Linked DNA regions of Drosophila melanogaster. The gene in region 2 interacts genetically with the main gene of each other region. Each region holds a gene or a part of one and is shown on either strand. Other genes may lie near its edges. The genes, in order: mip130, lin-52 and mip40.

Region 1 (4,870 bases), 3.8 Mb from region 2:
ACCCGTCAGAGTCCAGACCTTCACGGTTCCGGTGGTGGTGATGGCCAACACTACGTCATCCTTGCGACGCATGGGGCGCAGTACGTGAATAGCGGATATCCAATCCGGTTTGACCTTTGAGCTGAGCACGTAGATCACCTCTAGGCTGAACGGATCCATGACCATGATTTCAGCATAGTAGCCAATGCAAAAGAGGCGCACATCCTCGCTGTTGGCGGTGTGGTAGCTCTGAATTTGGGTGTGCACCTGTGGAAGCTTGACCGCCTCCATGCACTTGCCGTCCGTAAGATCCCAGGTGCACATCTCTCCGTTCTCAGACGAGCTGACCAGGAAGTTGTTCTCCGGCAGAAGCGAGGCACGCACTAAGCACAAAACGGGCGCCGAATGGCCCACCAAGAGGCACCGCGGCGACATCTTCAGGGTGGTGGGCTCCACTTGCCAAAGGCAGATCTGTCCATCGTAGCAGCCGGTGACCAGGGTAAACTGATCGTCCGAGAGGAACACGCTAGAGATGCAGTGCGTGGGCGCGGTGGGACCCCACAGCACCACGGGTACCACCAGATTGGTACTCACCATGGTGGTGCGCTTTACCCAATCTGTGCGGTGGCTCTCCTTCTTCTCCTCCTCCGCCGGCTTCCTTCTGCTCCCTGCTCGTGTCGCTGGTAATCGTTGCTTTGCTGCGACTGCGGGCTCTGCAAGAATAGTTATTGAGTAAACATTTGCTCACTTCCACCTAGTGGATGCGAATTATTTATGGTGGCCCCTGTGTGTGTATGAACTCCAGTTGTGGTCGGCTTTGAGTGCGTGGATGGTGCAGTGAAAGCTGCTAGTCAGTGACTCACCCAAGGTCCTTCGAATTCTGTGATTTCTCATCATCATTTTATTCAACCTGCTTTCCTAGCAGCTAATAGTGCTCTACAACCCACAGCTGTACGATGTAAATTGAAAACTGAATTTATATGGCGTTCTTAATGGAAAAGATGAATGGCAAAAGGGGTAATGTTGCCTAACGTTTTATAAACAAGCTCAGTTTCTCATTTCCTGTTGAATGTTTAAACAGACTTCGGGAATAAGCGAAATCGAACTAAGCAAAGTTTACATTTACAGCTTATGCAATTTGTAAACAATATAAGAACAATTAAAGGAACAAAGTGCAGCCACATTGTCGAGACTTTTCATATGCTTAACTGACGATTTTTGGGCCACTTACAGGAGAAGCATAACAAATTGGGTTGTAAATTCAAAAGTATTTATAGAGATCCATCTTAAATCTTTACCTAGAGTATGTGATAAGATAAGAACTTCCTATTTTTATGGATAGATTATTTGGTATAGCTACAGTCTTGGGTCTTGCGAGCTGGTTCTCTGGTCTGATAGTGATTTCTGTGTGTTATAGTTGTATCAATCAGGAATATGACTTTATCGTGTTAGAGAGTTCTTCACAGGGCTTTCCCCTCCTAGCTTGCAGGTGAATTTGTCAGTCGGAGTGACCTGCAAAGCTCTTCAGATAAGACCGCATTACAGGGGACACTCGTTCCAGCACACGCCACCTTATCGGCACATGTGTCCAACTTGGCCAGCCTCCACTGTACTCCACTCCACCTCGGATTGTCCAAAGATAAACAAGGGTTATACAATACATATGTGCGGCAAAAGCAGAGACTCAATCCGCGGATATATATCGGGTTTCGTGCGGAGCTGGGTATATGGGAGGGCGCCTGATGTCGCCAATTGAAAGATCAATTAATTGGCCGACTATTTGGCATCGCAATTTGAGCGGATTTTGCTTCTGCTATCGCACACAAACACACACACCCTCACACCTGGACACGCACACAGGGACAAGCCATAATAATTGTAGATAACTGGGCATTTATCTAACATTTTTCAGCAGTTTTCCGTATTGGGCTGGCTGCCGCGCGTGATTCCTCCGCTATGGATTCCGATTCCGATGCCAATTCCAATTCCAATTCCGAATCCGAGTTCGATTCCGAGTCAGCCTGCTCTCGATATGGAGAACTTAATGATGGTCCGCTACTGGTGGTGACGCTGCTTATTGATCCTGGTCGACGGACATCGCGGTGGCGGAGCAGCGGACTTCAATGTCGATTTCGATTCGATTTGATTCTAATTTATGGACACGGGACGGGCGAAACGCACACCACCCCCCGAGCACACCAACACACCAACACCTTTCCGCTGTACAGATTGCTTACAACACACACACGTTGCGTTGCTGTTGCTACTTTGTTATTGCTTTTGCTCGCCACTTTTGCGAACTGCTCATATTTGTTGCACACACTTTCCGCTGGAACATGCACTCCACGGGATCAAAACACTGCACTGTACTTTCGATTTACTTAGCTATTTCCTTTTTTTTTACACGAGTGTGAAAAAAAAGCAACGAAAATCGACCGTGGAGTAAAATTTTTCGATAGATTTGCGTGAGCGGATAGGGTTGCAACCGCAGCTCCGGACGCTCTTCTATCGATGCCATGCGAGGGGCGACAGCCCTGACCAAAAAATTTAATATTTTTCTTTAATTGTTTATAAATATGCAAACAACTGGGTGGAAACACGATTTCCAGATCCCAAATGGCACACGCTTATATCTACGGTCAACGGGATGGTTTCAATGTGGTTTCTGGTCAGCCAGAGGCAATCCCGCATGTATAGACCCACAATGTTGTTACTTTTCGCCCAACGGACAATTAAGCATACGCGATTGCATTTAAACGATCGCCTTACGCGGAGTACAAAAGGCACACGGGCCGTGATGCAGTTACTCCGCGAGGTTATAGTCGACCCTCTTTCTGAGTTTTTTTTACGCGGAGAATGATTCAAAACCGAAACACATCGCTGCCCATCGCCAGAACTGCAATTCGCAGTCGGAAGCGTAACAAAGGCTGCGGATTTCTTGGTCAGCTCATCCGGAGGATGTCCGGGTGTGAAACGGGTGCAGAGGGCAGTTACTTACCATAGGGTACAGTTGCTTCTATTGGAGGCGGTCGTTTCGCTGAATATTTTGAATTTAAATCACTTTTTACCCGTACGAACACACACTTTTGAATGGCCACAAAAAAAACTGGTATGTGCTGCCAACTCGACGCGAATAAAAGTATAAAGGAACGTGTGCCGCGCAAAGCAGTGACAAACAATCGGTATATTTGTCATCACAAACTTTTTGAATTCTTAAAGAAATTGCCATTTAATTTTTCCAACCCGACTTTAATATTGCCGCGCTGATTTTACGGCTATTCTGAGCTGTTGTATTCCTTTAACAAGCAATGACCACCATGCAAATTCGATCTGACCACCCTTTCGATAGTTATTCGATCAGCAACAGCTGATTGCACCCTACGGAATGACATATCCTATTGCTAGGGATTTTGTTGGGTAAAATTAACGTACTTCAGAATTGGCGGAGAATACAGTGTTTGCTAGCCTATAGTGTTTGGTTGTTACCTTAAAAAAGCTCTTTGGCTTGTGTTCTTTCCCCCGTTTGCTACTCTAAGCGCTCTATAAAAAAACACTCACCGAACGGAATTAGTAGGGCATTCGGCGGTCGATGCCACCGCCGAATCAGCCCTTGTTGTGATTTTGCGTCAACGTAGCCGCATTTGACTTCCACACATCCCACATCCACGCTGGCTATGGAACACTGACCATGCCCATAATTGAATTAGCGGCCCTGATTGATTGACTGTCCCACGATGCAGCAAAAACCCCGAAACAACGGCTATCCGGGCACCCTCATCTGCGCGGTCCTCCTCGTCCTGCTGTCCACCGGTGTCAGCGGCCAGAAGCAGTATTCCAAGGCAAGAAAGTTGGAACTGAGGTGGGTCATTGCTAGGGCTAAACTCGGACATACTAATCCTAACCGGCAATGAATCTGCAGGGAGGATGTGCGGCGCATGTTCCAGCACGCCTACGATGGTTACCTGCGCCACGCCTCCAACTACGATGAACTGCGTCCGCTGACCTGCGATGGCCACGACACCTGGGGCAGCTACTCCTTGACACTGATCGACGCTCTGGACACGCTGGCCACCATGGGCAACTTCACGGAATTCCGCCGCGCGGCAAGACTGCTCGAGGAGAAGATGGATTTTGACAGGGACATCAACGTGTCCGTGTTCGAGACAAACATCCGCATCGTGGGCGGGCTGCTGTCCGCGCATCTGCTCTCCAAGCGTGCTGGCGTAGAGCTAGAGCCAGGATGGCCCTGCAAGGGACCTCTGCTGCGACTGGCGGAGGATGTGGCCCGACGATTATTGCCAGCCTTCGTCACGAACACGGGTATGCCTTATGGCACGGTGAACCTGCGCTATGGCGTGCCCAAGGGCGAGACCTCTATAACCTGTACGGCGGGCGTGGGGACATTCCTCATCGAATTTGGTACCCTTAGCCGGTTGACCGGGAAAACCATCTACGAGGATGTTGCTATGAAGGCGGTACATGCTCTATGGGCATATCGCTCGCCCATTGGACTTTTTGGCAATCACATCGACGTGCAGAGCGGTCGTTGGACCGCCCTCGACTCTGGTATCGGAGCAGGAGTGGATTCCCTTTTTGAATACCTAGTTAAGGCATCTGTCCTGCTCAATCGCCCAGAACTCTTGGAGTTATTCCATGAGGCTCGCGCGGCCATTGATAAGTACATGCGGAAGGAGGACTGGTACGTGTGGGTAGGCATGAACAAAGGCCGCGTCACCCTTCCCGTCTTTCAGTCCCTGGAGGCGTTTTGGCCCGGCATCCTGAGCATTATTGGCGACACGGAGCCGGCCTTGCGCACCATATCACGGTACATTGGGGTCTGGAAGAAGTACGGCTTTCTGCCAGAGTTTTATAACATTGCTGCTGGAGAGGC
Region 2 (4,096 bases):
AGGGAAAATTCTAAAAACTTTAACCTTTTAAGATCGCAAATAGACTCATTTATTGTAATAAATAAAGTCAATGGCCTCTGAACGTTCAAACAAGTACATATTGCGAAGTGCTACCTATTATCATCAATTAACCTTTAGCTTCTTTGTGTGCCATTCACTTTATAAGAAGGTTATATTTCAAAAGAAACCATTGACGCGGGTTTCCAAAGTTTGTTGGTATGACGTTTCGTTCAACTTTTGTTAAGTGCAAGTTCCTCGATTTCCGACCTTTTTGCAATCGTTTGCAATCGATAATGCGCACCACGATAAGATCCTGTAAAGTGCCTTTTAACATTTCGAAAACCGAAGATTCCGAATTTCCAACGTAATGCCGATTATTTAGTGGGTTTTAGCCTTCTAAAGTGCATGTACCCGTGGTTATATTTAAGTTAAGACCTTGTCGAGTGCACTCTGAGTTTTTCTTTTTTGTTTTTTTTTTTTTTGTGGCTGGGGGATGTGAAGGGAAGGGAAAGGAAATCAATCGGAACGCAAATAAACAATCGAAATTTCGGGCGCGTGCTATCTGCCGAGCGTCCGGGTTTTTTCGACTACGTAACAACGGGCGGGCTGCAGTGGAAAATTTTCTAGCTGGGTCGCCCGCCTGCTGCGCACTTTCACCTCCCCCGCCCCGCCCCCCCACAAACACTACATGGAAAAGAAACGGAAGAAACGCCAACGGATTGGTGATTGGCAGAGGGGGCAGTGAGGCTGTCTGCCTTGGCTTGGTTAACAAAGCTCACCTTTCTGATCGCCTTGGAATCGCCGGCTCTGGTGGGAATCAACGTGTTGTCCAGGTCAAAGTAAAAGGCCCTGATTTTCGCACATGTCGCATCGAAATGTGAATGTGTGGCTGTCAATTGCTTGCCGCAATGGAATTTGCTAGCTGCCATGAGAGTCGTCGAGCGGAGGGGGGGATGGAGGGTCAGCGAGGGGTCACTGTCAGGAGTGGAGGGGTGGTAGCCGGTTGCTTGGTTAGATGGATGGATGCAAACGTAGAGATCCAAGAACAACTTTGGTGCAATTCAATCCGCCAGCGGATTTGCGCTTTGAAATTGGCGCCAAACGAAACGAAACGAAATGTACGAGCTGCACGACTGCAGCAGCACTGCAGTATTTTTCTATTTTCCTCGAGCGGACTGGCAAAAGTTTCCGCTTCTCGCGCGGCGAAGTTAAAACGGCAACTGAATGACAGCGACAAAAAAAATAATGAAACGGAACGGGAGCGGTCGCAGTAATGTCGAGAGACGGGGTAGCGGGGCGGCGGAACAGGTGAGCGCGTGTGTATGAGTGCTTGTTGACTGAGTGAGAGCGGAGCAGCGAATGAAAAACCGAAAGAAAGTGCGAGGGCGCATGGGAAAACAGTGGTGGCCAAAAGTCTGCGTATGCGAACAGTGCTACCAGGCGGCGGCGCCAATTGATAAAAACTTGATAAGATATTGTTATTCCTTAAGATTTTATATTATTATTAAGATGTTCTTGAATAAGTTTATTTCAATAACTGGTTAGACATCCGTGTTGTGTTGTTCTGGACAACTACTGCGCAGCACATGTGCTTTTTACGGGCACATATTTTTTGGCGCCACTGTGCGAAGTGTGCCAAGTGCCGTTTGCGCGCCAGAGCGAACGAGAGCAGGCGACCTAGCGCAGAGTTGTCTCTATGCGCCGTTAAACGACCGTGAGTGGAAAAGAGAGCACGATAGAGGTCGCGGAGAGGTTCGCGTTTCTCTGCTACGACGCCTGCTCTCCACTCTGAATTTAGTATAAGTCGAGGCACGCTCATTTCCTAATTGTTGTGCCATTTATTTTTAACTTCTATTAATAAAACCAGGAAAAGCAATAACAACAGTTCTTTGTTTACCAAAAATATCAGTTGTTTTATACTTCCTGGTGCTTTCTAGCACTGGCTTGGCGGTAAATCGATAGTATTCGATAGTGATTGTTGAAAGTGGCAACGCTATAGTTTTTGTTTAACGAGGTGGCAAGTGATTAGCCCACGGATTTTTTGGCATCTTTCCGTGTTTATTTTCAATAGTTTTTGGAGTTTTTCAACATTATCCGCGATGAGCAACGCAGAGACAACTACGGATTTGCTTTCTACAGGTGAGTAAATATTTAAATCACATGAAAGGCGCCATAAAACGAGGTTTTCTTGCAGAAACCATTCTAAAAGCGGCGGACGAGGAAGTGGAGAAGGCTTCAGCGTCCAGCAGTAGTACGTTATTGGCCGAAAAGGATGTCCCGGAGGTCAAGGAGCGGCCCATAACGCCGGAAGACGAGCTCATCTCCATGGAAACTCTGCGACCCTCACCTGTCCAATGGCCAGAGCGTTGTAAGTGTAGAAAACGTGAGCACGAAGAAATTGGCGCCATTTTTAACGCATATCTTTATTTTCGATTGCTCCAGTTCCCGGAATGGACGAGTTCCTCTCCATGAGCGACACGCCGATGTACACGCGCAGCACCAACTACACCAGCAATCTGACCGATGATGATATGGTTAAGATTAATGGTAAGTAGCTGCAAAGTCAATGAGATTTAAGAATAGTATATTAAAGAATAGCATATCCATTACCTACTTTTCTATTCCAGAACTAGCCCAGCTCCCTCCCGAGGATCTGATCGATAAAATAAAGTCAATGCATGATGAAATTTACCAGCTGGGACTGCGTGAGGCAATGGAGATGACTCGTGGGAAACTGCTGGGCATCTTTGACCGGGATCGCGCTCCTAAGCGGCAGCCATGAGGCTGGATGATCCGATCCCTAAGAATGGGACTGTCGAGGATCTCGTTGAATTCGCATTAGGAACATAGGTGTAGTTTCATAGTGTACATAGTGCTATTTTTATAGTGAGTAATGCGTGTTGTGAATGATTTATCGCTATTTTACAAAGATAAATAGGCAGGCGTTTGAACAGTAACTAACGTTTATTTCCATTAAAGCATTTTGGGTCCTACACGTCGCTTGTATTACAGATACATTTGAGGAGTCGGAGGAGAGATGAAGTTGACGGATTGGAGGGAAAGGAATGCAGAAGGATCTGGAGTTTTTGGAGAAGGCACAGTAGATTTCGCTATGCAGGGACATTAACGCAACAAATAACTCTGTCTATGTGGGATTGGATGGATCGGTTGCGCTCTAGTGCGTCCTATTAATACTTAACTAAATGCTTTCGTTCGGATTTATGCAGTAGCCTTCCCCACGATCCATCCCAATTTGGGAAAGTGTGTTGGTGCTGATGGTGTGCTTACATGCTGTTTCCCGTGAATATATATCCAGTAACGTGCATCAATTCCCATTACTCCTGCCACTGCATTCCGAATCGCTGCTCAAAGGTGATCCGGTTAAAGACGCCCGCATCGGCCAGCTGCAAGGGATCGGTGTAGTACGCAAAACGCCGTATATCCAGCATGGCCAGGTCGAACATTTGCTTCCAGCTGGTCAAATCTGTAACGCTCATGTGGATCGGCAGCTGGGGATCCGGTATATCGATGGCCGCCTGCAGACGGTCAAACGCCTCGGCAATTGGTCCCACCGATAGATTAACCCAGTACTCCGCTGGAAAGCGCTTGTTCTCACAAAACGGCGCTCCCTTGCGCATGATGAAGACCAGCATGAGTATCTCATAGCGCTCGGAGCTCTCATAGAAGCGCTTGGTTCGGGTCTTCTCCACGAAATCGATGAGAAGGATCAGGGGAGTGTAGTTCTGGAGGTGCATCAACAGCTCCCGGTCGGTCCAAAGGTAACGGCCGCCTTTGACGGTCAGCAGGCTCATGTTGCTGGCGAGTTGTTGATGCTGCTGCTGCTGCTGTTGCTGCTGCAGCTGGTGGTGTTGCTGCTGCTGAAGGTGTTGCTGTTGCTGCTGCTGATGTTGGTGTTGCTGCTGCTGTTGCTGCTGGTGTTGCTGGTGCTGCTGCTGCTGGTGTTGCTGCTGCTGGTGCTGCTGGTGTTGCTGCTGCTGATGCTGCTGGTGAATGCCGCCGGCGGATGGGGCTGGAGTTCCGGTGTTGGATGCCACCTGGCTGGGCATGGCGACCACAATGCCCGTCTGTCTCTGGC
Region 3 (3,292 bases), on a different chromosome or scaffold from region 2:
TCCTCGCCATCCCCAGCTAATGATCCGCCTTGAATTCCACGCAGTTCGATTCGTCGCGCGACCGCAACAAGCCATTCAAGTTCACCATCGGCAAGGGCGAGGTCATCCGTGGCTGGGATGAGGGAGTTGCCCAGTTGAGCGTCGGCCAGCGCGCCAAGCTGATTTGCTCGCCGGACTATGCCTACGGTAGCCGTGGCCACCCCGGCGTCATTCCGCCCAACTCCACCCTCACCTTCGACGTCGAGCTGCTCAAGGTCGAATAGGCGCACAGGATGCCCAATGTGTATACCCCAAACCAAATCGCAGGGGGTTGCGGACCGGCGCACCGGCGACGAGCCGAAGAACATCATAATCGGAACCAGAACAATCCAGCAGCATTTGCCAACCCAAAATAATAATGATAACTTCATACACAGCTCTAAACTAGAACTAATTTAACCGCAAAGGGAACGCATCTTCTACCAATACAAATAAACATTTATTCAAGTCAATGACAAATGTCTTTCTTATCAAAAATCTTGGGATAATCCAATCAAATCAGCTGCGGTTGCCTTTCCGTGCTGCAATACAAATGCATTTCATATTATTTTTTAATCAGGAAAATATGCAAATATAAAAACGCTTTATCATTCTCTTGATAGACTTGAAGTGGTCTACTTGACAAATTTGATTTTATTTTATATAAGTATATAAAGTGTACAAGCATCTTATTTGCATATATATTCGATTTGGAAACAGGATTTTTTTTAATTCTTTGTGCACAATTAATCCAAATTATTTTTCATTTTCTATACCACTTCCAAAATCACCTAGATACGCTTCAGTTTTTGCAGACCAAGCTCATAATCTTGTCAATAACTTCATATCGCTCCTTTTCATACTTCTTGATATGCTTTATCCAGTGTCCGCGCACTTTCTTCCAGCGGTTCATATTGGAGGACAGAAGATCGGAGGTACTGGCACCTTGGAGAGCCTTTTCCCGCTTCTTGTCCTCCTGGCTGAACTCCAGACGAGGCGGAATTATGGGCAGATCCGTGGACTTGGCCTGCGGGAGCTGGTTGATCACCTTTATCTCGCCGCTTTTAATTTGGGACAGGATTTCTTCGCCGTTGTCCTCACGTTTGGTGGCCGTGAGTGAAGCATCTGTTTGAAATGCACCCACAGCTGGATTCTTGGGTTGATTTGCCATCCATGCGCGGCATATGGGGTACAAAGGAGTCTTATCCTGGTATTTGGACAGGTCCAAACTTCGCTCAAACAGGCGCATTACGTAGGTCTCGCCGGGCGCCTTCTGGGCGACTGCCGCTGCTCCAACGCTCTTCTTGTAGAGCACTCTCCTGGCCTTGATGCGTCCTCCGGCGCCGGCTGCGGCTGCACTCGAGGATGTCGAAGGCTTCTCGCTAGAGCCCGACGTGACCGTCTTGACTTTCGGATCTAGCTTTACCTGGTACTGACGCTGCTGTTGCTGCTGGATGAGCAGCTTCTTCGAGGGACGGCCCCGAATGGGCAAATCCGACTCTGCGTCGTCGTCCGGCGGCAGGTTTGTCGTCTCTGGTTTCTGCTCCTCACGGCGCGACTCCCGCAAGCGCAGGGCCGTTTCCTTCTTTTTCGGCACAGTCTTCATTTCCAGAAATCTTGTATTCGACACGAAAATTAAGGGAAAACAATTTCGAATGCCGAATCGGAAATCAAACGGACTTACGGCGCTTCACAACACTGAAACACCACTTCGCCACGCAACACTACATAAGTCAGTGGTATTTCAAAAAATACCATAAATTAAAGAAAACAAACGGTCTTGGCGCCTAACGCTAGCTTGAGAAATAATTCTTTGAATTATTTGTAGCTTAAATGAAAAGAAAAAAGAATAACATATATATTTTTAAACAAAAACTTAATACACATTAATATTTGACTATTCAAAAATATTTAATAGACTTTGATTGTTAAATTAATACTTTTGTAGATTAAAAAAAAAAAAACAAGGAAATGAAAGTCTTAAAAATTTGGTATTTCTCGATTTGGTAATTTTAACCCAAAACCTTTCGGGCTTTTCAACCCACCTTTTATGGTCACACTGCTGTTTTGTGATCGCGAAAAGAGCGACGTGAAAAATACATTTAATTAAGTTTACTGCGAAAAATAAAATAAATAACTAAATTAAAACAAAGCGGAGCTTTTGCGTGAACTGTGTGTGTAGTTGTGAGTGTGTGAGAAAAGAAAAACGAAAACAAAGCCAACGAGGAAATCGAAGGGGCAAAAGTGGAAAAGATTCAGATTGAAAAGCACCAAAATATCGAAATCACAATTTGAATGTCAAAGAACAAACGACAAAAAGAGCGGAGCAACAAAGGAACATTGGAAAAGTCAAGAATTTAACTTATTCGGTAAGGATGCAAATTGTAAATCTGTGGATTTTGCTTCTTCTGCTCACGCACACATCCACATACAATTGGGAAGTGCACAGGTGTGGGTGGATCTGCTCTGTGTGCAAATAACAAATTGTGAAAAACAACTCGCACACATGCAGATCACCTAGTGCACCAAATAAAAGCAATAAATAAACACATTTCCAAACGGGCAACAAGTTGTGAATGCGTTTTTTAAGGGGGAGGGGCCATACCAAGTTTCCCAACGTTTCACATTTTCAATCGATCTCGGTTGTTTTTATATATGTATGGATATTTTTTATCTACTATTGCGTAGCTGCCAATGTCACCTGTTTTTTGCTCTCTCTCTCTCTCTCTCTTGCGCTCTCTCCCTCCCTCTCGCTCGCACCCACGCTGGCTGTAGCTGGTTTTTATCTTGTGCCGTTAACACAGCCATTACGTGTCTCTTTCGCACTCGCACTGCACATTGGTGTTCGTGTGTCTGTGCAAGACTGCACGTAACTGTATTACCCATTCGTACATGCGTATACGTATTTCCGCCTATTGATAACGGCTGAAACTCCCTCGAAATGGCCGTCTTTTCGAAATATGTAAACGAATCGTTCGGGTACATCCCCCGACCACCACCCACCCACCGCCCACTCAACCCCCTCCAAGCGCTTCTAATCGCAAAGTGCAAATATTGATTTGCTATGTGTGCTTTTAGATTTTCTCCCACTATCAATAACAATAAGCGCTCTCTGTACGTTGTTTTTGCTTCGGTTTGGTTTCGTATTAAGAAAACAAGTTCACAAGTTTTTGCACTTGTTATGCACTGTAAGAAAAACGCAAGTTTTATTCAAGAGCTCCGCATTACCGCATTATATTGCCAATTGTGAAACTTTTATAATATTTATACTAGC

The links.
Region 1: of lin-52 (region 2) and mip130, changing one suppresses a phenotype caused by changing the other (phenotypic suppression), as found in Drosophila melanogaster (one study listed by BioGRID).
Region 3: of lin-52 (region 2) and mip40, changing one suppresses a phenotype caused by changing the other (phenotypic suppression), as found in Drosophila melanogaster (one study listed by BioGRID).

The regions. Positions count from the first base shown.
Region 1 is NC_004354.4:1,906,463-1,911,332, reverse strand, and holds the start of mip130 (Myb-interacting protein 130), read right to left. Parts: upstream 3,095-4,870; 5' UTR 2,981-3,094; coding exon 2,978-2,980; exon of another isoform or gene 2,506-2,977; intron 2,414-2,505; exon of another isoform or gene 1,883-2,413; intron 693-1,882; exon of another isoform or gene 577-692; coding exon of another isoform or gene 1-576. Other genes in the region: Rbcn-3B (Rabconnectin-3B), read right to left, coding at 1-576; Edem1 (ER degradation enhancer, mannosidase alpha-like 1), read left to right, coding at 3,714-3,838, 3,899-4,870.
Region 2 is NC_004354.4:5,752,888-5,756,983, reverse strand, and holds lin-52 (lin-52), read left to right. Parts: upstream 1-2,025; 5' UTR 2,026-2,099; coding exon 2,100-2,139; intron 2,140-2,194; coding exon 2,195-2,368; intron 2,369-2,442; coding exon 2,443-2,547; intron 2,548-2,627; coding exon 2,628-2,782; 3' UTR 2,783-3,335; downstream 3,336-4,096. Other genes in the region: CG15771 (uncharacterized protein), read right to left, coding at 780-929; CG15772 (uncharacterized protein), read right to left, coding at 3,336-4,096.
Region 3 is NT_033778.4:19,290,474-19,293,765, forward strand, and holds mip40 (Myb-interacting protein 40), read right to left. Parts: upstream 1,724-3,292; 5' UTR 1,625-1,723; coding exon 821-1,624; 3' UTR 632-820; downstream 1-631. Other genes in the region: Fkbp12 (FK506-binding protein 12kD), read left to right, coding at 45-263.